Struthio camelus: one gene and its partner. The protein of the gene in region 2 purifies or fractionates together with the protein of the main gene of each other region. This does not show direct contact. Links are inferred from orthologs where the notes say so. Each region holds a gene or a part of one and is shown on either strand. Other genes may lie near its edges. The genes, in order: YIPF3 and organic cation/carnitine transporter 2.

Region 1 (15,325 bases), on a different chromosome or scaffold from region 2:
GCTAGAGAATGAGGATGGAGAGGGCCTCACTGCACTCTTTGAGCCCTGAGCCTGGGACACTGCAGCCATCTCCTCCCCTACCTTATATTTGGTCTCTCCTCATAGTAAGCACATTAGGTTCTCTCTGTCATCTCCACGAGCATTCACCTGAATAAAGCCCCTTACAGGTCCTGTCCTGTTCTCCCTACATGGGGATGGGGCCTGGGGTGGCATTTGATCCAGTCCGTTAAGCTTTTTTGATTCCTTCCCCTCCCCTCTGAGTATTAGCAGCTTTAGACCTCTGCTTCTCTGCAGGGTGGAAGCTGAGCCTACAGACTGGCAAAGCCTGGTCATTCTCTAGCCTTGGGTGTCTCTAGCTCCACCTCTTCATCCCTGGGCATTTAGGAGTGATGCAAAAGGCAAAAGAGTGCCCCATCTGAAAAGGGGCTGCCCTAATCTTACTCTGGGTGGTAGTAGCCAGGCTTTGCAGGGAACACATCAGACACTCCCGTCATGCCCACAGGCTCTTGTCCCTAGTGGACTTGTCTTCTGATGAATCTCTTTCCCTCCTGGACTCTGAGAGCCCTGGCCTGAGGGCTGTGTGCCAGCAAGCCTTGCAGTATTCTAGGCTCTCCCTTGAGTTCAGTCTTTTTAAGGTGCAGCTCCTCTCTGAAAGGAGGCAGACACTGTCATCATATATGTATGTGCATATGTCTTGTTCTACCTAGAGCCAAATGGAAGGCTTTTGCTTTGTGCCAGCCTTTCTCAGACATCTCTCAGGAGCAGGACAGGAAGTTTTTTTTTTTTTTTTTTTTTGTAACCATGCTCTGTAGACTAGAACAGGGCAGTGCAGGTACACAAAATCTGGACCAATAGCTGAAGCACCTGCAAACCAAAAGGGATCAGCCCACCGTGTCACTGTGGAGGTGGCAGTAGCCTCTGTTTTTACCCAGTATGGTACCTCTCAGAGGATTATGTGGCATGGCAGCAAGTAGTAGGGTTTTATAATGCAGTTTACAGGGGAGGGAAGCCTGTCCAGAAACTGGGTTTTTGGAGGAGGTAGGAATCTAGCAAACCACTCCAGGCTGCAAAGCTGGTTATTCTACAGGATAAATGGTTCGTTCAGTCTATTATAACATTAGCACAGTGGTACAGGAGCTGGGACAGTCTGTCCAGAACAAGCTGGCTGTTTTGCCATCCAGGAGACAGAAAAAGTAATAAATCATGAGGGGGGACAAAGGTGGTGTCTCTGCTAAGTTGGACTGGACAGAAAAGCTTGGTTTAGAAGAGGGTGGGGGAGGGGGAGGGCTGAAAGGAAGAGCAAGCTTTGGGACTCAGTGCAGCCTTCTGCTGCTGCTGTTCCACCAGCACCCTCCACTTTCCTCCTGGCCTCACTTTTTTTTTTTTTAAACTCCTGAGCTCATATGGTTCCTGGCTCAAGCAAAGGCTGGGTGTATTTATTGTGTTGTGGTATTTTTAACATTCTGTGACTTCATGCTAAACACAAGGGGTTTTTTTAAATGGTTTTTAGAACCTTTTTTGTAGGACTGTTTAAAGCTGAAGCTGTCTCTGAACTGGTTGTGTTACACCTCTGAATGTCAGTAAAGCTATTCCAGTTTCATACACATGGTGTCGTGATTTCATTTTATTCTTTTACCTCCTTCACCAACAGCTGAAGCCTCTGCTTTGCCCCCTAGTGGGCCTTCCTAAGAGTCATTCAGCACGTCTTATCCCATCTGCAAAAAGGGAGACACCTTTGCTGGTAGTCCGTGTAAATTGGGCATTGTCACATGTCAGTAATCAGGATGGGGATGCACTGTCCCAGGCTAGCTAATTAAATTAGAAGGCAAGGAGAAAGAGGCATTTAAAAGTATCAGCTGATCAGTCAGAGCTGCTTTATCTTAATTCTACCACAGCTGCTGGGTTCAAAGCTTGAAGGGTACATGTTTACAAAGACAATTGCTTTGACATGGCTACAGAAAACAAAGCATGCCTTGAAAACACAAAGAAGTGCAAGCTGTAGTATTATTACCTTAAAATGGATGCAGGGGCCTGTAAGGACACCTTAATAGAAAGGTTTAAGGTACCTTGCTTGTGACAATCAGAGTAGGAGCTGGCAGCATCCTTCACAGGGGTTAAGGACAGCACAAGAAGTCAATGATTAGACTGACATACTGTCTCTTGGGAACACAGTTTGGGATGTACTGAAGCAATTTCTTTCTCCTCCCTTCCTTCCACTGTAGCTAGGCTTATGGAAGTAGGGCAAAGAGGTTAGCTTAGCCTCAAGGATGCTTCTTTAGTCCGTTACTGCATCACTGTTTCTCAAGCAGTGGGCCTGGAATTGTCCCAAGTTTTGTTTCCTGTTTGAAGCAGCTGATGTTTTCACAGAATTTTGTTCTTTCTGGTTGGAAGCTTCCTAAACTCCTCCAGCATGAGAGACTTCTTCCCACACATGCTAGGAACCAGTCAACAGCAGCACATTCTTTCCTAAACTCCATCAATGTGTCTCAAACAAAGTCAATATAATTAAAGGTCTTTAGGGCTTTCTTTGGTTATTTTGGGATATTTCCAAGCCCCCAGCAATAGACAGCTGCATATGCTGCTAATGCAGCCTCCAAGCGCCACCTTAGCTATTGCTGGGAGGAACAGTGGCTAGCAACAGCGCTGTAGTTGAGCTATTCAGTCTTAATACTCTCAGCTTATCATTTCAGTAACCCTAGAAGATGATTCGTTTTGTCCTGAGGCTTGCAAGAAAGTCCTCCAAACTAGAGCAGAAGCCCTGTGAGAGGTAAGCCTGACAACTTCCCTATTGGGCCCCATTACAAAACCGTTTTTGAGGTCCTACCTGTAATCCAGCTCAACTGGGAAGCTGCTTCAGCTTGTTTAAACTGAAACAATCCAGCTATAAATTACTACTTTTGAAAAGGAGCGGTAGAACCTGAGTGAAGTTGATTAAGAACTAACCACAGTCCTGATCTAAAGGAAGTTTTGTATGCCTAGGCTAGCACTACGACTCATACATGCGAGACTGGTACTGTACAGCTGGGCTGTCTCAGTTTTCAGCAAGCAAAAGCACTAGGCAGACACCTTGGCTGTGGCTGTTAGGAGCTCTAAACCAGGAGGTACAAGCTACAAAACACAGGCCTAGCTCTTTGATTCCCAAAACTCCCTTCCAGTTCTAAGCAGAATAAATAGATCGTGCAGGGTAAGTTCTACAGCAAAGGCTCCTGCAAGACAGCTGAAAGAGGCAGAGGTACAAAAACCAGGAAGCACATCTGTGAAACACCAACTGCAACCCCTCCCCCCAGAACAGCCTTGACAAGGAAGCAGCCAGTTTCCCAGCAACTAGTTACCAGCAGTCTTAAAAAAAAGAAAAAAAAAAATCTGTGAGCAGAGCATGGGTCTGCAACACAGTATGATAAAATGGAACAGGCCTGGGATTTTGGCCAGAACGTCACCACTGTTTCGATCCCACTTTACTGACTTTGTCCTGAACGCACACGTTTTCTACAGCACATCCAGCCTAATACTTGTCCTGTAAACGTACAGCTAACTATACCCCAGTGGAACAGGTGACGTACGATTTGCTACACACAGTTCTAGCAGTTTAATAAGCGTTAACTGAAGTCACTGAAACAGACCAGTACTCATAGCCACTCTTTGGAGTTCTAGTTCATTTGTTAAGCCTAACAATAGAGTCATTCACAAGCAAGAATTACCTAGTGCTGACTAACAGAGTGCTCACCACAGAGACTTGCTTGCAAGTTCTCCCAGGCTTCCCTTGGTGGGGACAGGCCTTTAGCTCCCCCCTACCTGCCACTGTTCCCCAGGAAACTCTTAACTCAGCTTCAGGTTCAGACACTGAAAGGGAGAACAAAGTAGCCAAGCCTGGTTAACATCAAGAAAGAAACACCTCACCTTGAGACATGTAACAGGGAACAGTTAGTAGTCCTTACAGAGCATGTTTTTAAGCCCCACTTTGCTACTACACAGAGAAACCCAATACTATGTAACAGTGCAACCTTTCATCTACCACATCAATTAACTACCACAGCCTCTGTTGAGAAGGCTTGAGACAGCCTCTGTTAGCAAGTACCAGGGCAGGACTGCATTAAGATCTCACCGACCTGCTGCTAAGTGCTTTACTACACTGCCATAGCAGTCCTCTTCAGACAGTGCATGCCATCCAAAATAAATCCTATTGCTCATCTTTAGGCCTGCTGGCACTTTCTTCTCCGTATATTAGGGTCTTACCACTGTTAACAGCACTGAGGCACATGGCTGTGAAGAAAAGCCTTTATTTTAGGGCATCTCCTCAATGAGGCTCATTACAAACAGAAAACAAACACAAAGAGATGGTCTTGGGAATCTAACAAACCCATCTCAGACCTCCTGCCTACAGAGGAAGAACCACCCCTGCAGGCAAACCCCCAAACCAGCAGTGAAGGGATGTGCTTCTCAGCTACAGCCTGGTCACTCCATAGGCACAGAGTCCAACTCATTCAGGAAGCGCTGGCACTTTCCCATTAGTATCTTGATGGCTTCACTCACCAGCACGTCTGGAGGCAAGATACCCGTAGACTCCACTGAAACTGCACAGAGATACAAGTCAGCACAGCCACTATCCAGCTTCAGCCTACACCTGGCTCCAGCCTTTCTGCCCCCGAATTTTCACTTACATTGCACTCCTGTCAAGCTAAACCTTCACAGCCAGAAGAGAGGTTTACAACATTAGCCAGCAAGAAGCACAAACACCTTCAGTCCCGAAACAGCGCCAAACCACAATCTCAGTAGTCACCCATGAGCATACAAGCGTACCAAGGCTAATGACTGGTGAGGGGGAAGGGGAAGGAGGACAGAGACGAGAGATAGCAATACTAGCCAAGCCTCTGCTCATGCTGCACACACAGCAGAGAAAGGCTCTCTGCTCTGAGGAAAATGGGTCACTTACAGATGTAATGATTTCGCACTCTTGCCAGGCGCACAAGGTTTTTCAGACCCTCATGACGGAAAACCTCCCTGCTGAACGTGTCCAGTCGTGCATTTGCTACTCTTGCCACTTTTTTTCCTAAAGGGAAAAAGACGAAACAAGATGGGCACCGGCAGCAAACAGGGACAAGCACTTCCCATGACCAAAAGGCACCCCAGACAAGCACTCGCCCACCAGCAAAGGCAGTGAAGCCACAAAGTATAAAGAATTAGCACACCTCCAACACAAAATTCTAACCTGATAGAAATGAGCAGTTCCAATCTAAACACAAAGCTTATACATACCCCTGGGCAGGATACACGTCATCCCCACATTCAACTGCTGGAAAGACCAAGCTCACTACCCAGTCTGACACACAGTTGAGCAGTATTTGGAAGCTGCAGTAAGCAGCCACAGGGCTCTACAGACAGACACACAATACCTTAGCATTTCAGGGAGATCTCAGTTCACCAGCAAACACATACGCGTGCAACAGCCACTCATCCATAAAACCAGGCTGAGAACAGCACAAACAGTTGCTGATCAGCAAGACAACATCACAATGTGGTTTCGTCTCCACAAGGTTTGGCTCTAGTCTGCAATAACTCTTTGCTAAGACTCATAAGGACATGACACGTTAGAGCAGTGAATAAAGTACCCTTGATGGTCTGGATCTCAATGACTCCAGGGGAAAAGCACTTCTGCAACAACTCAGCCGCCTCATTCTCAATAGGCTGCAGGAGAGTAATGTCCGGAAGCAGTCGATAACTAGCTGTGGCCACAGGAGAAAACTTGGCATGATCTTTACCTGCACAAAGAGATAAGGGTGAGGAGAGGTCTCACAGAACAAGAGGGTAATGATGCTAGGGCCTAAAGTTCAAAGAGGCAAGCCAGCCTTCCACCTCTCCCCTCCACACATCCGTCCATGCCCTATAGTCCGAGCACTCCCACACCTTCTCCCCCTACCCTCAGGACCAGTGACTTACCTATACCCTTGACACAGTGCATAAGCACATCTATTTCCTGGCCAGGTCGTAACTGTGCGATAAGGATGTCATCATGAACAGGTCGGAAGTCAGCATCTGGGAAGAGGTCTGTCTGATTTCCCAAAGGCACCCATGTCATGTGTTTACTGTACACTGTGAAGAGGAGCCACAAGCATCAGCCAGCTGCTGCCTCAGAAAGCAGACTGCTACAGGACTGGAGCTGGTAAAAAGTTTAGCAGAATAAGGGAATCAGCTCTCTCTGTTCACAGGACTGAGAGAATGGACCAATTCCTGTCTCCCAAGAAAAAAAGCAGCATCTGTTTTTAGGACACGGAAAGACCTTACCTTTGTGATTGAAGTACAGTTCATTGGGGTCAGAGGACTCCCTGGCTGCCTGAGAGTTTCGGCTGCATTTTATTTTCAGCTGGAACTGCAACGTATCAATTTCTGTCCCTTCTTCATCTCCTGGAAAGGGGAGAATAGCACGAGCGTCTACAGAATCACGCTTCTGCTCAGTTTACCTGATCCCAGGTTTCCTACTTTGGGGGCAACCTTCAGTATTTCGGTTTGATTGAAGGGAGACTCAGGACTCTCACCTTGGTTTCTGTACTCAAAGAGTCGAGGGTCAGCTCGGATAGGGATAAGTCCCAAGCGATGAGCCAGAATCTCATCCTGCACGATGGACGTGTTGTTGTACACAAAGACTTTCTCTACAGCCATCGTTGGCACCTCAAGGAGAAGAGGACGCATCAAGTCAGTATAAGGTGACGGTCCAACTACACACCAAAACAGTGTCTAACTAAAACGTGCTTATTTTCACTACTTCTTCTCTCCCATAAATAATTGCTCGCACACTCTTCTCACTGGTGTTTCTATCAAATTGCGCTACCCAATACAAACATGAATGAGTTCTCCCTCTATCCCGGTAGCTTACTTCTTTTATTAAAAAAAAAAAAAAAAAAAAAGTAAGAGAGGTAAAGGGCAGACCAATCCACAGAACCTACCAACATCCACAACAACCTACCAACCTACCTCAGCATCCTTAAGGGTTACAATTGCTATTGCTCATGCCACTAAGGCTCTAACTCTCTCTAGGTCCTTGACATACAGAACGGATTTTTGCTTCTCTTCTAAAATACGTATAGATGGACTGAGATACCACAGGACATACACATACACGCCCTCTCCCATCGCACAGACTGCTCTGCAGCTAGGGCCTGCTTCCAGGCAGCTCTGTGCAGGGCCCTGTCCCCCATGCCCTGCTGCAGAAACACTGATGCTGCAGCAGGCTCCCACCGGCGGGCCACAAGGGCCACCGGTGGTACGAAGATGCTAACAGCCCCGAGGCCCACCCGAGTTGGGGGGGGGGGGGGAACCCGGCCGGGGAGCACCGCCAAGCCTTGCCCTCCCCGCGGCGGTACCTCAGCCAGCAGGATGCGGCGGAAGGCGTTGGCGATGGCCGCGTCGATGCCCACCATGTCGAACTCCAGCGCGTCGTCCTCCTCGCGGACCACGTCCACGCGGAACCCCTGCACGGGCCACGCGCCGCGTCACCCCACGGGCCCGCCTCCACCAACCGCCGCCGCGCGCGCGCCCGCACCGCCCGGAGCCTGTAACGTTCCTCCCCTCCCCGCCCCGCGCGCCCCCTCCCCAACGGCCGCCGCGGAGCCCGCCCCGTCCCAACGGCCGCCCAACGGCCGCCCCGGCCTGCCGGCAGCGCCCACCTCCTCGAAGCGCAGCTGATCCCAGGCATCGTCGTAGCCGGGGTAATTGCCGGGGAAGTCCGTGGTGTGGACCTGCGAAGAGGGAGATAGGCAGAGAGCCCGTGAGGGCGGCGGCGGCGCCGGGAGCGAGGCGGGCACCCGGCAGCCCCGCGCCGCCCCAACTCACGTTGCGGACCCCGAACTCGCCCAGCACCACGCGCTCCCGCATCTCCTCCGTGCCCCGCTTGGCCGCCATTGCCGCCGCCGCCGCTACCAGAGCGCGTGCGCGGCCGGACGGACTGGGGAGGGAGGGGTTAGACTCCCTCTGCCACGTGACGGGCCGCCCCACCCCCGGCGGCCGGGCGGGAGGACTTGGCTCCGCCTAGGTGTGGCGCCTCAGCCGCGGGGCGTTCAACCCTCCCTCGCCGCAGGCCGGCCTGGGGGCGCTGCGACAGCGCAGCCCACGCCCCCGTATGCTCTGCGAGGCTCCCTCACCGTCTACTCAGCTCCTCTCTGCTGCCCCCTTCCACTTTCCTCTGCCACTCCCAAGATGGCGGCACTGCCGGCCGGCCGGCGAGAGCGCGATCTCGCGAGAGCGCGGGCGGAGCCTCCACGTCCGCCGGTGCTGGGGGGGGAGGGGGGAAAGCCTGTCACATCCGGGTCCTGCGAGCCCCGCTGGGCCCGCGGAGCCGCCAGCAGCGAGCGCGGCGCGGGGCGGCCCCGGCCACGATGTCCGCGCCGGGGGCGGCGGCGCCGGGCGGCGGCAGGAGCGGCGCGGCGGAGTGGGGCGGCTTCGAGGACAACATGCAGGTGGGGCCGGGCCGGGCCGGGCCGGGCCGGGCGGGGGGCGAGGCCGAGGCCGAGCGGGGCCCGGGCGGGCACTGACGCCTCTGCCCCCCGCGCAGGGCGGCGGCTCCGCCGTGATCGACATGGAGAACATGGACGACACGTCGGGCTCCAGCTTCGAGGACATGGGGGAGATGCACCAGCGCATGAAGGAGGAGGAGGAGGAGGCGGAGGGCGAGGCGGCGGCCGCCGAGGAGGAGGACGGGGAGTTCCTGGGCATGAAGGGGCTGCGGGGGCAGCTCGGCCGGCAGGTCGCTGACCAGGTGAGCGTGGCTCCCCGCCCGGCCCGCGGCCGCCCCCGGCCTCGGGGGCCCGGCCCGGCTGCTGCACGCTGCCTTCTCTCCGCAGATGTGGCAGGTGGGGAAGAGGCAGGCCTCGAAGGCCTTCAGCCTCTACGCCAACATCGACATCCTCCGGCCCTACTTCGACGTGGAGCCTGTCCAAGTGCGCACCAGGTGGGCAAGGCCGTGGCCCGGCCGTCGCCTCCGCCGCGAGTGCCCGGGGGATTCAGGGGGGACCAGCGACTCCTCACCAGGGAGCGGCTGCCCCCAAGGCAAGCAACTCCGGGTGGGGCTGCCAGCCCTGCGCAGTGCCCAGATGCAGGGTAACACGCTAGGCTTTGTCCCCTTGTCCTTAAAGAGGTTCCCTAGGCGGGCTGGCCGCTATGTCACTTGTGGCCCAGCAGAGCTTCTCTGACTGAAACAAGGGCTTTGAGGCATCTTTAGCGTTTTATTGCCCAGCCCCGTCACGTGGTTTCTGTTGGACCTGCAACACAGTTGTGTTCAGAAAGGCAGTTCTGTGTCTTCTCAGGGAGCAGCTTACCTGACTGGAGAGAATGAGGCAAGAATTACTTTTCTAAAACCTTCCAAGGCCTAAGGAGCCAGCACTAGGGTACAGTTTGTACATATTTTTACAGCATGATTTTATCCAGGACTAACTCATGAGGAGGCTCGGCTAGCCCGCTGTCATGAAGGAGAAGGCTTTATATCATCAACATATGTTTTTTCATCCAGCCTCAGGTCAAGGAGTTCAGTGGCTCAGAAAATTAGGGATTGCTGTTCTGGCAGCAGTCCCCTCATCCCTGAATGGATCTGTGTATGTTTTCATTAAATCCCCCTGGCAAAGTTAGCCTGTGGATAATAAGATTGTTTTCTTTAGCTACCTTTTGTGACTCTTCAGAAGGAATCTGTGTCTACCAAGGCCTGTGAGGCACAACAGGAAAATACTGGTGACTGGGGTATGGGATCTTTTACTGCTGAGGCATCTCGTTAACCTGGTTGTTTTTCCTGCTTTTGATGTCGTTCTGTGTTTTTTCTGTGATGCAGACTGCTAGAGTCCATGGTTCCCGTCAAGATGATTAATTTCCCACAGGTGAGTTCCCTTTTGCTGAATCAAACTCCATGGCTCAAGAGAATGTCCCACAGACACCTTGGAGATTTTGATTAGCCCGTGTTAGTAAGGGCCTGAGTTTGCTAGTTGTTCATCTGCCTGAAAATGCTGGTAAGCTCTTTCCCAGGATGCTTCTAAACCCCTTTCTGCTACCCTTAATGCTGGTACAGTTCTAGATCTCCAGACTTCACTTATCGTGTTTTGGCATCCTGTTTAACACCACTTTGACTCTTAATCACATGACCTATTTTTCCTGGCTCCTGTCAGCAGCGGCCTTACTGTTACTTCTCAGATCAGTAGGTGGCTAAGTGACAAAATTCATCCAAGGCACTTCTCACATGGCTTGGGGTGGGGAGTCTGGCCTTCAGGAGCACTAACCAAGCCTTCCCTGGTCTGTCTCCTCCTGTAGAAGATTGCAGGCGAGCTCTATGGGCCCCTCATGCTGGTTTTCACGCTGGTGGCCATCCTCTTGCATGGGATGAAGACTTCGGACACCATCATTGTACGGCGAGTCTCAGCGATAGGTTGGGGTTTGCACTGGGATCTGAATTGCCATAATGAGGCTAGAGAGGGAGAGGAAGCCTCTCCCGTGACTGAACAGCACCTTGCTGAAAAGCAGACTGATTTGAGGAAGAGTTAATTTGGGGGTAGGAGGAAGGAAGCAAGCATCAGAAAATCTTGATGCTGTGTTGCTGGAAGGGCTGGGCAGTAGGCCATGTGGCATCCTGGACGCTGCTGGCTGGCTATTCAGTCATGCCTAGCAAAGGCTCTGGGAACTCTCTGAGGTGGAATTTGGGTCCTGACAGGTCAGTTCTTTGCGCTCTCCTCACCCTGACACTGTCTCTGCAGAGGGAAGGCACACTGATGGGCACAGCCATTGGCACCTGCTTCGGTTACTGGTTGGGCGTCTCCTCTTTCATCTATTTCCTGGCATATCTGTGCAATGCCCAAATCACGATGGTGCAGATGCTGTCACTGTTGGTATGTATGGATGGGGCTAAGATGCAGGTTGGCTGCATGGTGCTTCAGCAGAAGGGTGGTGTGGGGGGGTCTTCCCTGAGACGTGGAAGTCTCCTTATCAATTAATGGTCCCAGGTGACTGCAGTCCTATTGCATGGGGATAGGCTGGAATTCCAAGTTGTTCTTCTGACTTGCCCCATCCCAGGTACGAGGACAGCACAAAGTGGCTGTTGCTTCATGCAGATCTGCTTTGGACTTCCTGATCTGAGAGCATGGTGGTAAAAAGCAGGAGATTCCAATTTCTCTGGAAACAGAGGCTGATTTTTTCTCTGTTTCCCAAGTTGCTGTGATTTCTATCATCCCTGTGACTCCTTCAGGCAGAGAAGCTGGATGTGAGCTGCTCCCACAGCACACTGGCTTTTACGTTTGGTGTGCTGATTGACTCTTGGGTGTTGAGTGAGTGATTAGTGAAGCTTTGCCTCCATGAAACGCTGCAGGAGTAGCCTACTCATGGTTTTGACCAGTAGCCCTTCACGTGGGACTGTCATTCATAACACGTGTATTTTTGTTTTGTCAGGGCTATGGCCTCTTTGGACACTGCATCACCCTCTTTGTTACCTATAATATCCACTTCCACTCCCTCTTCTATATCTTCTGGCTGGGTGTTGGTGGACTCTCGACACTACGAATGGTAAGGGACAGGCAGCTGGGAGCCCTCCTGCTTTGGGGACCAAAAAAAAAAAAAAAAAGAGGAGAATGTCATTTGCTTTCTGTTTCTTGGGGCAGGCAGTTCATATCAAAGCCAGTAAGGCTGCTAAGAACAACAGCCTGACACTTCTGGGTTGCTTGGCCGCTGGTGTCTGGAAGTGACACTCGGCTTAATGTCCTCACGCATTCTAATGGCTGCAGGAGGTCTGCTCCCTTACAGCCCCTACTGTGGTGCAGAGTCCTGCCTGAGCATCCTGAACTCTTGGCAAGGCTGGACAAGCTTCACCTACATGAAACAGTCAGTTTACTTTGAATTTGGTGGTGTAAACTGCCAAAGAGTCTCTGAGTAGTTTCTGTTGGCTCTTACCACTTGGCCCATCTGCCTATGTGCATCTGACTGCAACGCCAAAGGCTGAGGTAGCAGCTACCTTGTCTGTAATCTCCACCTCTCTCCTAGGTTGCTGTGCTAGTGTCACGTACCGTGGGGCATACTCAGCGGCTCATCTTGTGTGGGACCCTTGCTGCTCTGCATATGCTTTTCCTCCTCTACCTGCACTTTGCTTATCACAAGGTAGTAGAAGGTAAGAAGGGGAGATAGGAAGGGAGTGCCTGTTAGATCTGGGGGAAGAGGAATTGCTTTTTGTTCCCTCCCAGAAAAAATACAGCCAGTTGGATCCAACCTGGGATATGTGCCAACTTCCTATCCAAGAGCGGCCAGCGCTAGCTGTGTTAGAGGAAGCTGTCCAAATGGGGCAGCAGATAGACATGGGGTAATCTGTTTGTGCCGAGTCTCAGGGTTTAGGACAGAAGTTGTGAGGCAGAAGGTTTAATTTTCCCCATAAATGAAGTGTCACAGCACTGACTGTTCCACTCACGCAGATATCCAGTCCCTTCCTGAATCTTGCTGAAATCAGGTTGCTTTCTCTGGTCAGAAAATCCACAGTCAATGTATCGCAAGAAAAATCTTTTTCCTTCTTAAAATTGGTGTAATGCCTTTTTTTATCTTGTGTTGTACAAAACAGGCAGCAGAAGCTCCACCTCCCCCAGTCTGTGCTATTTACCAAGCTATACATATTCAGGTCTCCTTTTTGCATCTTTTTTTGTTTTCCCCTAACAAAAGTCACTATCCCTTTAAAACAAACCAAAAAAAGTCACAGTCTTCAATCACTAGAGTTTTCAGATCCCTAAACGTGCCATTCTGTAGTCCCTTTTTTGAGTTTAGGCAACCAGTCCTGTTCATGATATTGAAGGTAAGTCTCGATAATTTAAGATTATAGCATGGCATTAAAAGTCCTTTTAGATGTAAATACAGTTCTTGCCTGCATCCATTCTCATGGCCAGCGTTCTGAGCCCTGATCTGTGACTCTTCAACAAATGACATAGGGTAGAATATACTCCACGCAATTTTCTTAAACAATCTCCAGGACCGATTATCAGTTTTGAGAGGGTAACTGATAAAGTCTGGAGGACACTTCCATCAGTACATATGTTTGCTTCCAAACCTGGTCCCTGTTTACATTGCAGCAATAAAATTCCATATTGCATCCCCATCTGCAGCTCCTGATGTAAGTCTGCAAGTGTATCTCAGGAGGGAAGCAACCAGTGGATCTAAGAGAGAGCTGGGGGTCTGTGCTGGGATGAGGTGGGGAGAGGATTTTATCAGGCTGCTTTGGCAGAGCAGCATCCCCCAGCAGTATCTGCATTCAGGTCAGACGGCAGAGGGTTGGATTTGGCACCCTCAAGGTGACACGATCTGTGCTTCCCTCGAGGACACAGTTTCCCTGCCCCAGGGATAAGCTCTGATCTGTACGCTGCTCTCTCTCTGGATGGAAGTGTTTATTGCTTTATCTGAAGCCAAAGGCTGCCTGCCCATTCCTTGGGGCTAGATGTCTTCTCCCTGCACGTTTCCCACATCCTAGGCCCTGCCATGGTCAGCCACGGGCCAGAGAGAGCAAGAAAAAAACGTCACGTGCATCTGGATCAGCGTGGTACTAACTCTTGCCACTCTCCTGTTTTTTTTCTGTTCTCTTCAGGTATCCTGGACACGTTGGAAGGACCTAACATGCCGCCCTTTCAGAGAGTTGCTAGAGACATTCCAGTTGTTTCCAACGCTGTACTGAACGCAACAGCCAAAGCCATGGCATTGACCCTGTAGTTTCATGAACTTGGACTTGCTTCCTTCACTACTTTCGGGGCTGTATAGAGCAGTATCCCTGCTGTCTCCTAGGAAAAGGACAGAGCAGCAGGAATAGGACTTGGTTTTATGTTGTTTTCCTGGACTTTTCTTTTGGGTTGCAGTTTTGGGCAGCAGAGTGGGGCAGCACCTCAGTGACAGAATTAGGCTCTTCCCCTGCCCAGGTCTGGGCTGCTTGGCGTAGAGCAGTTCTGTCACCTGCACGCTTCGCTGGGATTTCCCAGCTCAGTTTGTCCCTCCCCCCATCTTTCTGCTTCCTCCTATAACCCCAGGGCTATGCGCTCTGTTCCTGTCCTGAGGAGGGAAGAATTAAATGGATGTTGGTGCTGAATGATGTCTTACATTTGAGCCTACTTGTGTAATGGGAGAGTGGTGGTGGGTCTCTGCTCCTTTGTCTGTCCCTTCCTTCCTAGACTCAAAACAGAATTCTTTGCACTTTTGTCCTGTCCCATTTCAAATGCTCCATGTTACATGGACAGTTTTTCAACAGTTGCCAAAAGGCACGTGAACTTTAGCGGGCTCAAGAGTTTTTTTGAAACAGCACAATGTTTAACCATATCATCTCTTTCTTGTTATGCTCCATATTGATCCCTCTCTCTTTTCACGTGGTCCAAGCTGCTGTCTCGCTTCGCTGTCCGTTCTCTTGTGTGTATAAGAAGTGTATCTCTGTCCCTCTGCTTTCACAGCACCTTTTGTTCTTATCTGCCTTCTGCCTGTGTCGCTCTCTGGGACTGCAGTTCTAACTGCAGCCTGCCCCAGAGGCAATGTGTGTGTGCGCGCACAGTCTTCTGTGATATTTCTGTTACAGAGGCTAGTTCACCCTCATGCACCTTGCTCTTGTGTCTCCCAGATGTGGGATTTTTACCTCATTTCTCTCTCCGGTCAGCAGAGGCATCCTGCTGCCCCAGATCCACCATGTACGGCATCTGTTGTGTACTCTCCGGCTTTTCAAGTAGAGGCTAGGTCTTCTTTCTGAAGAGGCTCCTGAGCCTTGAGAGAGAGAGAGTGTGTCTGGCAAACTCCTCTCCAGTAAAAGCACTTCTGTAAAGCAAGGGGGAGTCTACAATGGTAATGGAGTTGGCACGTTCAGCCCCAGTGTCCTCATGCAGGAAAGCTCCAGTAACTACGTGGAAATGGAGCGACCTAGGCTAGGCTTACTTGAACTTCAGAAACTCACGACTGCATAATTTGGATGTAATCTTCCCTCACTGCTCTAACTTGTCTGGTCCAAGAGTGGAAAGCTGTTAGCTGATACCTGGTTTTCAGCTTCTCTCTCTTCTTCCTTTAGCTCAGGATGACTGTGGGAGAGGAACCCACCCTGAGAGAAGTTTTCCCTCACCTTCAGAATGAAAAAGCCAAGGACTTTCCCTCTCTTAGTATTCCCACAAATTATCTGAGCATGAGGTAGAGGGCATGTCAGAATTGCACTCTTTTGCTCCTTGCCTATATTGGTGGGAGAGGATGCTGCTGTAGCAGCATTCAGACTGGAAGCAGGGTAAAAAGAAAGAGAACACAACAGTGCCAGCTACGCCAGTCAGGCTGGTTATCTGCTTCAATTAAAAAAAAAAAAAAAAAAAAGTCAATGGCAAAT
Region 2 (15,448 bases):
TGCATTGCCCTGCCAAAAGCTTATTGCATTGGCAAGTGGAGAGATATCAGCCTTTAAAATGCCACTCTGATTACCATCTTGTTTTTCTGTCCACTCCAGTAACACAATTTTAGGAGCTGTTTCGCTCAAGAGCAATTCAACCAGGCACGAAAGCAAACAACTTGCATATCAATTTTCCAAAAGACGACGACTGTCTTGATCATGAAATGGCAGTTATTAAAGCCATAAAGAAAACCTAAGGTCATAAAACTCCACACATGCACAATGAAAACAAAAAGATTTTAAGGTCCATTACTGCAGTAACTCAGTGCTGAAGTCTTCAGCTTTTCAATGACTTACCAAAGAGCGCTACTGTATGGCTCCTGCCAGCGATGAGGCATCAGTCTTCTAAATTCCCCAACGAATCTGTCCCTGACCTGTACGTTGCCCAGAAAAATGGCACTGATGTACCACTGCTGAAGACCAGCATTATTAAGAGCAAGTATCCCTGGGTTACTTACTGATGGAGTTCTGCTGATGGTGGTGCTGCTCACTACGGGTCGGGACACAGTATATCATGATCAAGTGCTTGAGAACCATGTCCAATTTTCTTTTCTAGTGTCCTGCTGGATATCATAGCCTTTGCCCCAGTGAATAAGATAAGGTTAACCTCAGCAAGTTATCAGGGCTCCAAACGGGAGGAAAAAACACAATTCAGCTTTGCTTCTAACAGCAGTTACCATCAAGTTCCTAAACACTGACACCCAACACTTCAGACACGGCACAAGGTGTTCTCACTAAATCTTATTATGATTTTGCAGGAGGACATTTTCTGCTGCAGTTTAAACTTGTTTTCTTACTCAAACAGCTTATAGCTACTTTGACTGGGCTGTAACTATGTCCTGAACAGTTCACCAGGTTGGGGTGATGTCTTTGCCAGCAGCTTCACACCCAGCAGCAGTAATTGCCCACGTGCTGGGGCTGGGCTGCGCCATGAGAGGAGCCAAGCACTCCACAAAGGATCCAGGGCTGATAAATAAATTCAAAATCCCTTGCTATGTGGCAAGACTAGTTATAAAGCTGGGGAAGAAAAAAATCCAACCAAACAAAATCCCACCAAACCACTCCCTTAGCGCCCCCCCTCCCCCTTTTATTAGCTTCCAGGCTTTTATCAAAAAAGAAAAAAAAAAGGAACAAAAAGTATTACTGTATGTTTAGTCAGAATTACACTAAGCAGCGTAAGTAGAAGTTTAACTGTCAATCTGGCTAGACTGGTATTTCCTATATTCACTTGTCATATGCCTGTCCAATACTAAACTGAATGTTAATAAAACATCTTTAGCCACAAAGTTTCATTCAAACTGCAGTCACAATGAAACTCACACACCTCCAAGATGAAATATTTGAACTCTTTGAACTCAGCAAACTGGGCAATAACATCCAAAGCATAAAATAAAGATATTAAACTAAAACTGCAAGGGAAATTCAGGCAGACACAACGCCACACATCCAGCTGAAGATATGGCCAGACTACAAGTAACAAGTTTGGTTCTTCTAAGTTCTCTAGGAACTTCAGAAGTCTCAAGAGACCAGGGCTACTATATTTTGTGCGTATAGGCTCTGCAGCCATTGCGCTTGCAGAATACCGCTTGCCTCAAAAGGAGAGCTGGCTCTTTATGAATTACCAACACTAAAGCCTGCAATGGCTCCCATCCAGACACTTATGCAGATCCCCTAGGCTGCTTAACTTCTACTGCAGTTTTGTCAACTTCAAAGAGAGCATAACAGAAACCAGCGAAAATCCAGCTGCTAACAACAAGAGTCTAATCATATTTCATCTTAAAATTGCACAAAAATTTGTAATGCATTACAACATCAAAAGTGCAAGTCTAATTAAAGATAAACTCTTCCAAAAGTCAAGTTCTTGCAATACAGTATCACAGCAAACAAGAACTCCATCATCAGCTTATATGTTTGGAAAGTTACAAGAGAAACTGCAAGGCCAACAATATTATTTATGACCTTACATGAAACAAGCACTTTTCTCAGATCACAAAGAGCTGTTCCACTGCAAAAGCACTTGTACTTCCCTAATAGCATTACCAGAACCATAAACAAAGACGGACTGTGACAAAAATCAAATACTTCAAGAGGCTCACTCAGTTACAACCCAGTTATATTAGGAAGATTCTTCTGAATTTTACAGTTACGCTATTTTGTGCCCCTCCATCCTTTTTCTTTTTCATTTTTTAAACATTTCCTACTGTTGCAGAGAAGAGAAGGGAAGTGGGACACTGATGTACTAATATTTTCTTTTTAAAAATCAAAATATTGGCAAGAATTTGGGAATCTTATTCAATATACTGTACTCTCTCCTATCACTTGCTACTCTGTAAATAGAGGTAGGTTCTTCAACAGATCTAGCATTCTCACCACTCAGCACTTATGAACTTTGATTCAGAATCTGTTCTTATTTATATCCATGCAAATACGGTACTCACCACTTAATGAAGAGCTGTGAGTGTATTAAACATCTGTTTTTCTGAGACTACATCTATATGTATATCAAGCACTCAGAAGTTCTAGAAGATCTATGACAGCATATTAAGTTATCTGAAAATGTAAACAGATGTCTGTATCTGAAAAACATATATGGTATTTAATTTCTCCCCAGTAGCTGTTTTAAACTTTTTAGAGAGGAAAAACTTGCACAGACCACTGAGAAAAGTGCTAAACATTTTACATTTCCAACGAAACTTAACTTCCCCCCATAAAACACATTTTTGAGAGAAAAAGAAAACAAGGTACTGACATCAGAAACAGAACTATCAGAAGACCGTTCATTTAAAATTGAATGCAGCGTAACAGGAACATTATCCTATCATTACACAGTCCACGATATGTCAAAATGAGCATTGTTTCAGTTTTCTTTATATCAACTATAGACTATCGTTCTTTAAAAATACTGACCCTATTTGATGTTTTGAAGTCAGAAAGGTCTTTGGATTCAATTCACAAGGGTCCTGTATTATGCACTTAAAACTGCTGAGGTTTTCAAGATGTAACTTAAGTATTTCATTATGTCTGACAGCCATTCATGCTCATCTCATAAGCTGAAAATTGAACTTTTCTTTTTCTGACAAGAATAGCAATATAAAGATTTTGCAACTGGAACTCAGTTAAAAGTCATTCCATAGCTGTGTTAGCTGCTGGGACTGAAAAGCTGTCACTGCTAACTTTAACCAGAAAAATAAGCAGATCTTTCTGTGCCAAGAAAGAAGATGCATCGATTTTAAAAGATGATGAAACCGAATGGAAGTCCTGATGTGGCTTTTGGTCTACAAGGCCACCTGCACTAACATGAATGAAGAGCTCAGTGAGAGCTGAACCTGGATGACATAGCCTTGAGTTATACTTTGCTGCTGGCTCCGCTATTGGAAAAGCCTGTGGAAATTAAGATGCCTAACACGAGTCCAGGAGTTTTTTTGGTAAAGAGAAAAAAAGCTCCACCTTCTTTCTGTCTTCCAACAAAAGGTAAACTTCAAAACCCCTAGTGACACACCTGTACACAATACTCATTTGTGTCATTTCAGATGTTGCTGCTCCAGCCTCAACTTATTCTTTCCTGAAGCTCTGGCATAACTTACTATTCTTCAGGAACCAAGGTTTGACAGCACAGCAGGGCCACTGAACCCCCTGGTAAAAAGGAAATGGGAAACTCAGGGACCTCAAAAAGGCATGGCATCTTTCTCTCCCTGCACAGTCATGCAGGAGTCATAGTTCCAGCACTGCACCGGGCCTCAGGACAGCTCTGTAGTTCCAGTGATAAGCACCCTTCCTCTGCAAAAAACATCAGTAGCTGAAATCTGTTAAGAACAACCCTAAAGGCAGACTTGTAAGGCAAGTCTGCAATACAAAGAGATGCCTCTAATGAACTGATTTCAAACTGATAGCAATACAAGACATGTTCATCATCAACTTTTTAAAAATGTATACACAAAATTCTGTTTCTATTTATGTTCCAGTATGTAAGAATTACTCCCATATAGACTAAAGTGATTTGATCACTGTATCGTCTAAGAATATACCCAAGAACAGTAACCTCATTGCATCATTTTTCTAGTCCTCTATTTAACTTTACTGCTAAATTCTATTCCTAGTTACTCTGCAGAGCCCCAAAAGAGACACTGGGCGTTCACCGATGCGTCCGTGATAAGCGTAAACGAAGCTTTGCTTATTCCTCAACATACAGTATTTCAAAAAGTCAAAGATGAAAAAGGATTTTGTTACACACAAAGCAGTTAATTACTCCAGACTGATTAACAACATTCTCCTGCTCAGTCTGCAGAACTGAGAAAAGAAAATCTGTTTTTAACTGAGAGAGAACGTAATGTTATAAGCTTCCTCTTACCCCTGAAAAGCAGAAACATATACGAGGATCTTTCTCTAAAGTCATGAGAATCTCAAGTAAAAACCTTCCTTGGGGAAAAAAAAAACCCAAAACCCTTCCCCCTCCCAGTGTCAACAACAGAAATGTGGGACAAAGGTCCTCATGATTATTCAACAAGTTAGAGATAAGCAATTAAACTCAAGATTAGTGATTCATAAAAACAGCAGCACCAAGCCAAGAAATTAAACTAGTTTAACGTTGAAAACCTGAAAGTATGTGAAAGGCCACAGCTCTTGCAAAACTGGCTCAGAAACATTAATATAAAAGGAGGAAAAAAAACCCCACTGCCTCAATGCATGATGTCTTGGCAGCGAAACACGGCCTCCCGCAGGCACAAAGTATCTGCCAAACCATACAGACAGCACAGGAGATTTGCTGTAGATTTCTGGAAAAATGTTAGCAACTTTCATTTCTCATAGATCATAAAATTTCCGGAAGATAGTTGATAATTAAGATATGCAAATTTGCACTGAGTTAGAGCTCAGAAAGACAAACTGAAATTACATCTAAGCCAGGTCAATTGCTACACTTAGCCGCAAACTGGAAGGCCGACTGCTTTATATTGCCTGTAACAGCGCACCAGACTTTCACAATAGTGTATTTCAGTAATGACCAGAATCTAGAAATTCAGTTTTCTTCTTCAGGAACAGAGCAGCTTTTTAGAAACAGGTCAAGTAACACCGTCAGTCAGTTGTCAAAAATCACTCAGGCCTCAGCCACTGTCTAAGTTCAAAAGCAGTTTTCAGCAACTGAAGTTTCACCATACGCATGCTGGCCTGTGCGCTGGTATGCGCGTGGCTTCTCCCACGCGCTCCCTTCCTCACCCAGTCCTCTTCCCGAGGAGCGTTTCGGGACTCAGACCAGCTTACCTCCATCAGAGAGCAAGCACGGGAACATCCACCACTACCCGTTCTGCGGAGCAAGAAATAAAGGCCTTTGGGTGGCAAATTTAGCCACTGTTCTGCAAAACTCGTTCACAGACACAAACGGGCAATTCAGCTGTACAAACGGCTTATAAGCCTTTGCAAAAAGCTACGTTTTGAAATCCAAATATTCCTTGCGATCCATTTGCTTGTATCTTAAGTCAATCCAAGCCTGCAGAGCTTTCAGCTCAGACAAGAAGCATCATCAGCACAACTTCACCTTTGGTTTCCTTGACTGGAGAGGTGATTTGCTGAACACAGTTCAGCAGATGTGAATCCTGACATGCTCCTGGAAGGTAGGGCGGAGAAGCAAGCAAGGGGCAAGCATGACGCTGACACACAAAGTTCATGGCTCTTCTGGACACAGCATCAGAACAGGGCTCTCTTATCGCACCAGACTGCTGCGTCTCCTACAACTCCGATGACTCCTACCACTTTTTGTTTTTAAAGGAAACAAATAAACCCCTTTCATCTCATGAGCTCAAAGAGGCACCTTTGATCTAAGCAGCCAGCTGCACCCACTGTTCCCCTGTTGACCCTTTGTGCTCGCTACCTCACTTCTGAGGACATCAGATGAAACCAATTAAGCAGTTAATATACAAACGCTGCCCAACAACGGGGAAAAGTCACCGCATTTAGAAACCACTTTTGCAAGTGAAAATTAAGAGAAATTCATTACATTAGCTCTCAAATACGTTTGGCATGCCAGCTGCAGAAGCTAGGACGAGTCTAGGGCCAGGACTCCAGGCCGCTGAAAACCAGCATCAGAAACCAGTGCTGTGGCAGGCACAGAAGTTTCTTCGGCCCTGCTGTGAAGACACACACCAGTAAAAGCTCTCTGTAACTCTAAAAAAGACTCCTTTGGCTTCTTGTTATAGATCTCAAATGAGGGCGGCGGGGGGGGGGGGGGGATCACGATTTCTGGCAGGTTGCAGAGATTCTGCAGGGGGGAAGGGGGGGAAAAGGGGGGGATTTTTGCACCGTAACGATTGAGAGCGCGGCGAAACCCTCCCGGACGAGCCCCCCACAGCCGGGGGGGCCCCCCGGCTGCTCGCCCAGCGCCCTTCCCTCCCCCCGGACCCCCCCCCCCAACCTGCCGCAGCTCCGCGGTCAAAGTCCCCGAAGAGCCATTCTCTGCCGAAAGGGGACAGGGCAGGCCCGAGGCCGCGCCGATGGGCGCCTCGCTGCCGCCGCCTCCCCCCCTCCCCTTCCCCCTCTCCCCCGGGAGGGGGGGGGTCCCTTCCCGCACCTCGCTGACGATGGTGGAGCGGTAGACGTCGCGGCTGTACTCCCAGCCGTCCAGGCAGCGCTCCTGCTCCAGCGCCTCCAGGTCCACGTCGGAGCCCGGCCGCAGCCCCAGCGCCGAGAAGTTGGCGAGCGCGGCCAGGCGGTAGCGGCGGCAGCGGCTCGGCGCCGCCCGCCCGCCGCGCACCTCCAGCGGGATGCTGGCGTTGCGCCACTCGCCGCTCAGGTTGGCGCCGCCCGGCACCGCGCACCGGTGCTCGGGGGTGCCGGCCAGGAACACGATGGAGAGGCCGTTGAAGCCGTTGGGGATGATGCTGGCGCTGAGCAGGAAGAAGACGAGGCGCTGGAAGCGGCCCCACTCGCCCAGGAAGGCGGTGACCTCGTCGTAGTCGCGCATGGCGCGGCGGCTTCTGCTGCGGAGCTCCGGCCGCCGCTACCTGCGGCCCCGTCTGGCGCGGGCAGGGAGGAAGCGGCCGCCCCTAGGCCCGGCGCGGCCCGGCGTCCCGCTTGCCATGGGCCGGGCCTCGCTCGCGGCCCGGCGCCGAGGGGCGGGGCTTGCCGGCGGGGCCGCCCCTGCCGGCGCCGCGGTGATGGCCGCGGGGCGGGGCGGGGCATGCCGGCTCCCGGCATGCCCCGCCCCCTTCCCCCCCCTCCCTCCCCCCCTCCCCGGCCGCGGCCGGAGGCGGCGAGAGCCTGAGGGGAGCGCGCGGGCTCTGAGGGGGGCGGCGAGGGATGAAGGGGGCGGAGAGACCCTCGGGGGGGCGGTGAGGGATGAGGGGGGCGGAGAGACCCTCGGGGGGGCGGTGAGGGATGAGGGGGGGCAGTGAGGGATGAAGGGGGCGGTGAGACCCTCGGGGGGGCGGTGAGGGATGAAGGGGGCGGTGAGACCCTCGGGGGGGCGGTGAGACCCTCAGGGGGGCAGTGAGGGATGAAGGGGGCAGAGAGACCCTCGGGGGGGCGGCGAGGGATGAAGGGGGCGGTGAAACCCTCGGGGTTGGGGTGAGACCCTCAGGGGGGCAGTGAGGGATGAAGGGGGTGGTGAGACCATCAGGGGGGCAGTGAGGGATGAAGGGGACGGCGAGACCCTCGGCGGGGCGGTGAGGGATGAAGGGGGCGGCGAGACCCTCGGGGGGCGATGAGAGAGGAAGGGGGCGGTGAGACCCTCAGGGGGGCAGTGACGGATGTAGGGGGCGGCGAGACCCTCAGGGGGGCAGTGAGGGATGAAGGGGGTGGTGAGACCCTCAGGGGGGCAGTGACGGATGTAGGGGGCGGTGAGACCCTCAGGGGGGCAGTGAGGGATGAAGGGGGTGGTGAGACCATCAGGGGGGCAGTGAGGGATGAAGGGGGCAGCAAGACCCTCGGGGGGGGCGGTGAGGGATGAAGGGGGCAGCGAGACCCTCGGGGGGTGGTGAGACCCTCGGGGGGGGCAGTGAGGGATGAAGGGGGCAGCGAGACCCTCGGGGGGTGGTGAGACCCTCGGGGGGGGCGGCGAGGGATGAAGGGGGCAGCGAGACCCTCAGGGGGGCGGTGAGAGATGAAGGGGGTGGTGAGACCATCAGGGGGGCGGTGAGGGATGAAGGGGGCAGCGAGACCCTCAGGGGGGCCGTGAGACCCTCAGGGGAGCGTGGCACCGCGGAGGCCCCGAGCCTCTGGTCTATGGGCTGTTTTTTGCATATTTGTGAAAAACAGGAGAGACGGCAGCTCTGCCATGGGACAGCAGGGATCTGCATCAGGACACCGACTGCTGAATAATGGGGGCAGCTTGCTCACCGGGACGGCGCGAGCGGACAGAGGTAGGGGGTCCTGAAGAATGGGACCCTCCGGCCGCGGCGCCGCAACAGGGGGCCGTGAGGGGCTGCTCCCTGGGGACGCGTCCAACACCCACGCCCGAGACACCCACAAGGTAGCAGGGACACGGGTCACACTCATCGTCCCTTCAGGAGTTACGGAGATCGTGTCCAAGGGAAAGGATTCCCGATCTCCTTACTACCTTTAGATGCGTATTTTGTGAGTAAATCTCAAAGGTATAGTCTCGATTTGCAGATGGAGAGGCTGAATTGTGAAGCAGAGATGGAAGGGCGCGGTAGCTTTTAGAGCAGCACAGAGGGCCACGCTGGCCTTGCACCACACCGGTCCCCTTGAAACACTGGCCTGCGCCCACAGCATCACAGACACATGCTGAAGAAAATAGAAATCTATGAATGACTAACATGCTGTCTGTGTTTTGTCAATACTTTTCCTTGGAAGCATAGGCTGGGGCCAACAGAAAGGCTGTGCTCCTGTTTTCTGAGAGCTACGGAGACACGTTATCCCTCAAGAGTGCACAGCACTGGAGCTCCGGGGAAGAGTTGGCGTATATTAATAGACTCCTCAGCCCTTGCTTGGAGGCTGGTCAGAGCCTCAGACTTTTATTTACATCAAAAGCTAGGAGGCAGGAAGGCCTGCAGTGCTGGGATACTGGGGAGAGGCATTGCCTGGCCTCTCAAGAATACCTATCAGGTAGGAATGCTATTAAGGCTGCAGGAATTTCATCTTTACATAACACTTTTTATCTGCCTCTAGAATACTTTTTTTAACTTTGACTTTGTCATAAACTGACTTGCAAAAGTTCCCTTATTTTACGCGCCCAAAAAGTCAGGACATGCATTCTTAAAGAGGCAAGCAAGCACAAGTGTCTGATGGGGTGTTTGTGTAGCATCTGCGAATACCTTTGCTCACTGCCTGCCTGAGCAGGGCCTCGTGCCGGCTCCTGGCACGTGCTTCCCTAGCCTGGGCTGGTTCCCAGCTCTGCACGAGGAGCCAGGCCCGAGCACAGGCCCGGGCTGGCCCCGGCCTGCTGGCGTGTGCTGTGCCTGCTCGTGACTCCTTGGCAGAAGCAGTTCATGAAAACAGGCCTCAGAGCTCTGCTTATCACCCAGCAGGGTCAGAAACCAGAGTATTGAGATGTAAATCATATATTCAATTGACTGCAATACCCTTGGTTTGGCTACAAGTTACAAGCAAAGCAGCCTAAAGGGTTCATTGGTAAGGCTGTGGTTTGGGTAGTTACGCCTGTAAGTCAGGAGCCTCGACTAATTGTTTTGTTCTCAGCACCATCAAGGGAAGGAAGTTTTCTGCAAGTCCAAACGTAAACTAGTTCCTTACCTTGTCCCTGTCTGCAACAACCACCTATTTCTAGAACGCCCATCGTCTGTTAAGCAGTATTGCCTGTAGGTCTAAAAGGGATTTGCTATTAAGGACATGCAGTTTTTCATTTGGGGAGTATTCTTTGAGGCAACGTGTACTGTGTGTTTGACAATTAATAAATGTAAGGAAGTCTTCTATTCTTAGGCCAAAACCAATGAGTCATTACCTAGCAGTGCTGTCAAGAAGGCAGGAAGATCACATCTTCCATAAAGAGGTCTGTTACAAAGCTGTATGATCCCTAAGTGCAAAAACTGACCTTATTCTGCAGAGGTAGTTCAAGTTTCAGATTGCCCTTTTTTGTCTATTTTTCTCCACCTCCAATTGACGGAAGCCAGATGCATACATCTTACACTAATTTTGAGTGCTTCTTTTTAAAAAGAGCTTTCTTTCCATGTTGGAATCATTGTGCTGTGAAACTCTCCAGTTGTTCACGATGGAAAATATGATTTTCTGACAGATTTTGCTTAAAAACGTCCTTTCTTTAAGTGTTCAATTCCATAGGTCCCGTAACCAAAGGGATCACCAAGGTTCAAAATAAAAGGATATAAAGCTTCTGGTTTAATTTCATTTTGCGTTGTCTATCTTATTATTTAATAGGCTTTAGTATATTTGGAAAATTAACTTTTCATGTGGACAGAATACAAGTAAAAGTTATAGGCTGTATAAGCCCAGTTTGGCTGTTATCACAGAATGTTAGGACAAAACAGGAAATGAGATGACCAGAAAATATAGATGACAGGAATCACAAAAAGGAAACAAGCCCAGGAGATAAGACCCGTTCTAAACAAACAAAAAACCCTCTGACCATAAGCAACCCATATGTCCAAAATATAAATATCCATTTGCCTTACAAAAGCTAGGAAATGTGTATTAATGGTAAAGGATACTGGCTTACATTATATAATGAACCACTTTTTGATTATTTCCTCTCTCATTCTCCATCTAGTAAAAAAAATCAGTTTGCTGCCATTTATAAATTGTTTTATGTCATTACAGTATAGAGAATTTCTTTATAATTTTGAGGATTTTTAAAAAAATCTACTGTTGTGAAGACCTGATTTCTGTGGCACGGAAATCTTGGACTCTTGGTATATACTGGGTTCTTAGATCTTGTTCAGGGAGGTCATTGACTTACAGGAAGCTTACTGATGGATAATAATTGGGAAAAGATTTTCTGCTTAATTTCAACATATTTAATCTCCAAGTTTGAAAAGTATGGCAGAATTATCTGGACTGCCTTTCTAGTAGAGGTCCTTTCAAATGCTGGAGAAGATGCTGCTTAGGCTTTAGTCTTTGTGGTTTGTTGCATCACAATTAAAAACTACACTATTGCTTGTTGCTAATAAATTTTAACTTCTTTTTGATTTTAGGACAAGTATAAAGTATAAGCTGACATGGTCACCATATCAGAAATAGAATTCCCACAAAAATTTATGCAAGTTATATTTGTGTCCTGACAATAATTTTTAAACAATTAATAATGATAAAATAACCTCTTCCTTCATGTTTAAATAGAAAAACAATTACACTTACTATTACATATTTTTTCCTTCTGGATGTTTTCAGTATGCTTGGTTACTGTGAGAAATGAACAAAGTAAAAGTTCAGTCTCAAAATTATAGCTGAGCATTTCTTTAAAGGATATATATTTGACCTGCAAATGCATGTAGTGGAATTCTGTGGAGACCCATCAACCTGAAAGGTTACTACTTCAGTTACTTTGTAGGATCAGGAAATTAGGATTTAACCATCTGAAAAAGCTGAGATTTTAGGCTGGAAGAACTGGCCTACACTAGTATTTCCTACCAGAATAGTTTTCTTGTGTAGAAGAGCTTATTTTAAAAGGAGGAGGTTCCGTACTTAATCCATGCTAAATAAATTTTAAATTACTTCTTTAAACTTCCTTGCACAAGGCAGACTTCTTTCTTCACTTATAAGCCACACAGAAGGTAGGTTATACAATACCAGTGCACACTTTATTACAATAAAGACACAAGTTAACAAGTGACAACGGCTACGTTATTTTATGTATGTTTTAACAGATCCAGTAAGTCAGCTTCAGATCTTACTGAGGGTAAAAGGTTACACAGATAGACTCTAGTAAACGTGACGGAGGTGACGTATGAGGAATAGTACAGCTCCCACTGAAAGCAATGGGAGCAATCCAGCCAGTCCTCCCCATCTTCAGCTCAGAGCTTTACACAAGTATCCCAGCTGCTCATAAACACACAGGTCCCATACTGAGCCCCACTGAGTATTTGGCATACAGACAACTCTCTGAAGATTGCAGTGAAAGGCTTAGATAGTTCACTAGCAATACATTTAATTTTTGGCAACAGCTATTAATCCAATACTATTTACTTCAGCTTTACAGTTAAAAAAAAAAAAAGTAACGTGCCAGAAACTGGCATTCCTGCCGTCCAGCTTCATTGCTCTTTGAATCTTCCACAGCCTATTGCTCTTTGAGTTTCTTCAGGAATCACTGTTCAAGATTGGGAAAGATTTACTGGCAAAGGACAGAAATTTTCCTAGCAAATGCTTCATCAGCTGCAGCAATCTCCCGTTCTCTTTTGTACTAAGCTCAGACACAATTTAAAGTCCTCATAACAACATCACATTCTTCTGAGAACTGCGTGCCACTCTCGTTAAAGATTTTTTTTAATTTGCCATTAAAAGTATTAAAATTTTGGCACTAGCTTTAGATAATAGTATAAGCAAGAAAAATGAGGCTAATTAAAACAAAGCATCAAAAAACCCACAACCCTTTCTCTTAGTTAAATAAGGAATACTAGGTTTTAAGACACTACAAAGTTCAAGAATATAAAAATATTTGCCTTTTAGAAATATCTGAGTCTATGATCACATAAAACAAGTATCAACTTAATATAAAAATCTTAATAAAAATATAGCCATCTGTATTTCATCAAGTCCTCACAACTGTCTCACACCAATAAAAAGGTTTTGTTGAGAAATCTAGTTAAGTCTAAACAGTTATTCTATAGATTTTTTATATAATAAGTAAAAACAAAATTAAATGTTGTTGTCATTAGAGAAATTCCGGCTTGAGAAGAGATGAGGCAATGTTAGAGATCACAGGATAATGTTGCCTCATTACATGTTACATTACATTTATGGCAAAAGCAGGACCACAGAAAATTAATATGAAAAGAAATAGTATTTCCATGTCCCAAACTGCAGCTTGAAATAATTGTACAAGTTACTTGCATTTAAATGTTATAAAGCTTTATATTTGTGCTTGAACTTACAGGGAGCTACTCCTTCCTCTGCCAAGGGCCAGCAGCAGACAAATTGCCACGAACTCTCATATTAAAGGTGAAACAGCGTGCTTCTGCTGGCCGTTACAGAAGGTAAATCATGGCTAATTGTTACTTAGAGGCTAAAATCAGTCTGCCAGGTCTGATAGACTTTATGTGACCAAAAAGTCTATGTGCAGCCAATAATAAAGTAAGAAGTAGTAGACTTTTTTCAAACTATGTAGTGTTTATAAAACAGCAGTAGCACAACTCTAAACTCTACTACATTTGACTTTTCATCTAATACTGCTTCACTGAACAAAATGCATACATAATCTGTAGGACTTGAAAAACAGAACATTGGCTTTGTTGGTGTTTGTTTTGAAATAACTGTGTGGTCCCAAATTAGCCCTTTCGTGTTTTTAGCAGCTGTAGGTGAACAATTCCCATACAGAACATTAGATTTTTTTGAGCATCAAATCGCCTTTAAATCCGCAAATGGTGCAAAGATTTTTGTAGGTGCTTTCAAAACTGGAATGAGTTTCCTCTGAAGGTACAGTACAACATGGCATATATTCAAGGAGAAATGAAATAATTTGAGGAAAAAAAAATTCAAGATAAAAAAAACTGCTTATGCCAATATACCGTGAACATCTGGTATCTAAAACTGCACATTATGTTTGAAAAAAATCATTTATTTGCTGGAGCCTGTGTTTCTTTTGAATGTGGAAATTGCCCCTCAGAAGTAGGTCAGAAACTATACTCCTTATTAAAGACTTCTTCCCCGCAAAGATGCTGATCCATGAAGCCCAGTGATTTCAGTGGGCTCAGGCGTTGTGAAAAAGCATCAGATTTTACAGGGAGAAGTAGATCAGAACTGGATCCCAGGTCCTGGGAAAAGTAAGGAACATCAAAATATACTTGTTCCCATGTCTTGTTTAAAAAAACCAATAAAGTCTATGTGTGCTTTCCTTCAACTAAATTCTGATTCCACTTAAAGTGTATTGGGATTTGGTACAGATTTCAAAGGAGGCTGGAATCTTTCCTTTAGAGATGTAGGCTGAGATTTTTCAAAGAAAGGTACCCAGCTCCTCCTCTTCCAGTCAATATTCACAGTGAGAGAAAACACCAGCGTTATGTTTTTTTTTTTTTTTGAACTTGGCCTTTCAATTTTTCTTTAAGCAACTTTAATTGAATACGTGACTGAGTGGAGTCACTGATGTATTATTCCTAATACTCATTTCTAGCCCTCTCTTCAAACACGCTTAGCACATGCAGATCCCAACTTGGACAGGGGCTGTATCTGTTGAAAAACTCCAGCTATCAGGACACCGAATTACAGACTAACAATCTTATGGGAGTAGACAGCATCTGTTCAGTAAACTATATATTTGGTACAGCAGCAAAAGGGGATAATAGGTTCACAACTATGTCGCAGTAGCATTGACTGTAGGTTTTTTGTTTGTTTTCCTCTGGTAGAAAATACATTTTGAGAAGACTTTGTTGTTCTTTCAGCCCTTCTGGGAGGGTACAGCCTTCTTCACAGTGGTGTTACCAGAATTTTAGCATTCGCTTTTGAATTCCTAACACCGGTGGTTTGTTGCCCGTTTCTGAAACTGAAAGTAAGAGATCGAGAAGCTACATAACATTTTACGGAATGAAACCAGACACTCCCCACTCCCAAATAGCACTGCTAAAATAATCCCATTACACAACTAATATAAAATGTAGGGGAAAAAAAAGTCAGTGCTCTGTAAAGCATGCCTTTCCGGACAGAACAAGCAACGCAGCAAACAACATTTGGAACTTGAATGTGAGTAATTCAGTGATTGAATCAATGTTACTTCATTCTGTTTGTGCGAGAAACCTATGAAGGGAATCTGGTTTGACTCTAGCCACAGTTCATCAACTGCACAGCTTAAAAGCCACAGGTCAGACATATGAGAAGTCCCTAACTGTGACAAGGAATAGCACGCCCTTCTCAAGGAACTTGACCTGAGAATTCTCATTCTGAAAACATAATGACAGTTCCTTATACAGACCAAGGATCAGGTATAGGTAATTCCAAGCTTCTTCAAGTTATTATTGCTTATAAGGGTAAATTTTGTTCACAGTACAAATTCTCAGTAACCTGGAAGGTAGCTAGGGAGTTGCACTTTGGCTAATTCAACTTCCCTCTGCTTCTGCCAAGAGTTTTCCTCCTACCATAGTAACTAGCAAATAGTGGCTGTCTCCACTGCACCAGCACTGTAAGGTATGCACACAGATTTCAGGTGGACATGTTTGCCCAGGGTAACTCAAAACAGCATCTGGTGGGGCAAGGGAACACTATCTTTGCTTATAGCTAAACCAAATGGACTGGGAGAAAAGCTGTTCCAGAGCGTCTCTACCCTCTCAAAATAAAAAGGCTG

Evidence for each region.
Region 1: the proteins of organic cation/carnitine transporter 2 (region 2) and YIPF3 purify together in Homo sapiens (co-immunoprecipitation; 3 studies listed by BioGRID and IntAct, counting the BioPlex papers as one, with this or other methods). This does not show direct contact. The link is inferred for Struthio camelus from reciprocal best matches to the Homo sapiens genes SLC22A5 and YIPF3.

The regions. Positions count from the first base shown.
Region 1 is NC_090944.1:103,659,974-103,675,298, reverse strand, and holds YIPF3 (protein YIPF3), read left to right. Parts: upstream 1-8,290; 5' UTR 8,291-8,366; coding exon 8,367-8,447; intron 8,448-8,542; coding exon 8,543-8,746; intron 8,747-8,831; coding exon 8,832-8,938; intron 8,939-9,808; coding exon 9,809-9,854; intron 9,855-10,281; coding exon 10,282-10,374; intron 10,375-10,721; coding exon 10,722-10,853; intron 10,854-11,409; coding exon 11,410-11,523; intron 11,524-11,997; coding exon 11,998-12,121; intron 12,122-13,573; coding exon 13,574-13,695; 3' UTR 13,696-14,065; downstream 14,066-15,325. Other genes in the region: XPO5 (exportin-5), read left to right, coding at 1-49; POLR1C (DNA-directed RNA polymerases I and III subunit RPAC1), read right to left, coding at 4,453-4,571, 4,931-5,047, 5,607-5,756, 5,935-6,087, 6,280-6,399, 6,531-6,663, 7,356-7,463, 7,659-7,730 and 1 more. UniProt on the Homo sapiens protein: Involved in the maintenance of the Golgi structure. May play a role in hematopoiesis.
Region 2 is NC_090954.1:2,518,663-2,534,110, forward strand, and holds the start of organic cation/carnitine transporter 2, read right to left. Parts: upstream 7,148-15,448; 5' UTR 6,995-7,147; coding exon 6,602-6,994; intron 1-6,601. Other genes in the region: SLC22A4 (solute carrier family 22 member 4), read right to left, coding at 14,578-14,653. UniProt on the Homo sapiens protein: Sodium-ion dependent, high affinity carnitine transporter. Involved in the active cellular uptake of carnitine. Transports one sodium ion with one molecule of carnitine.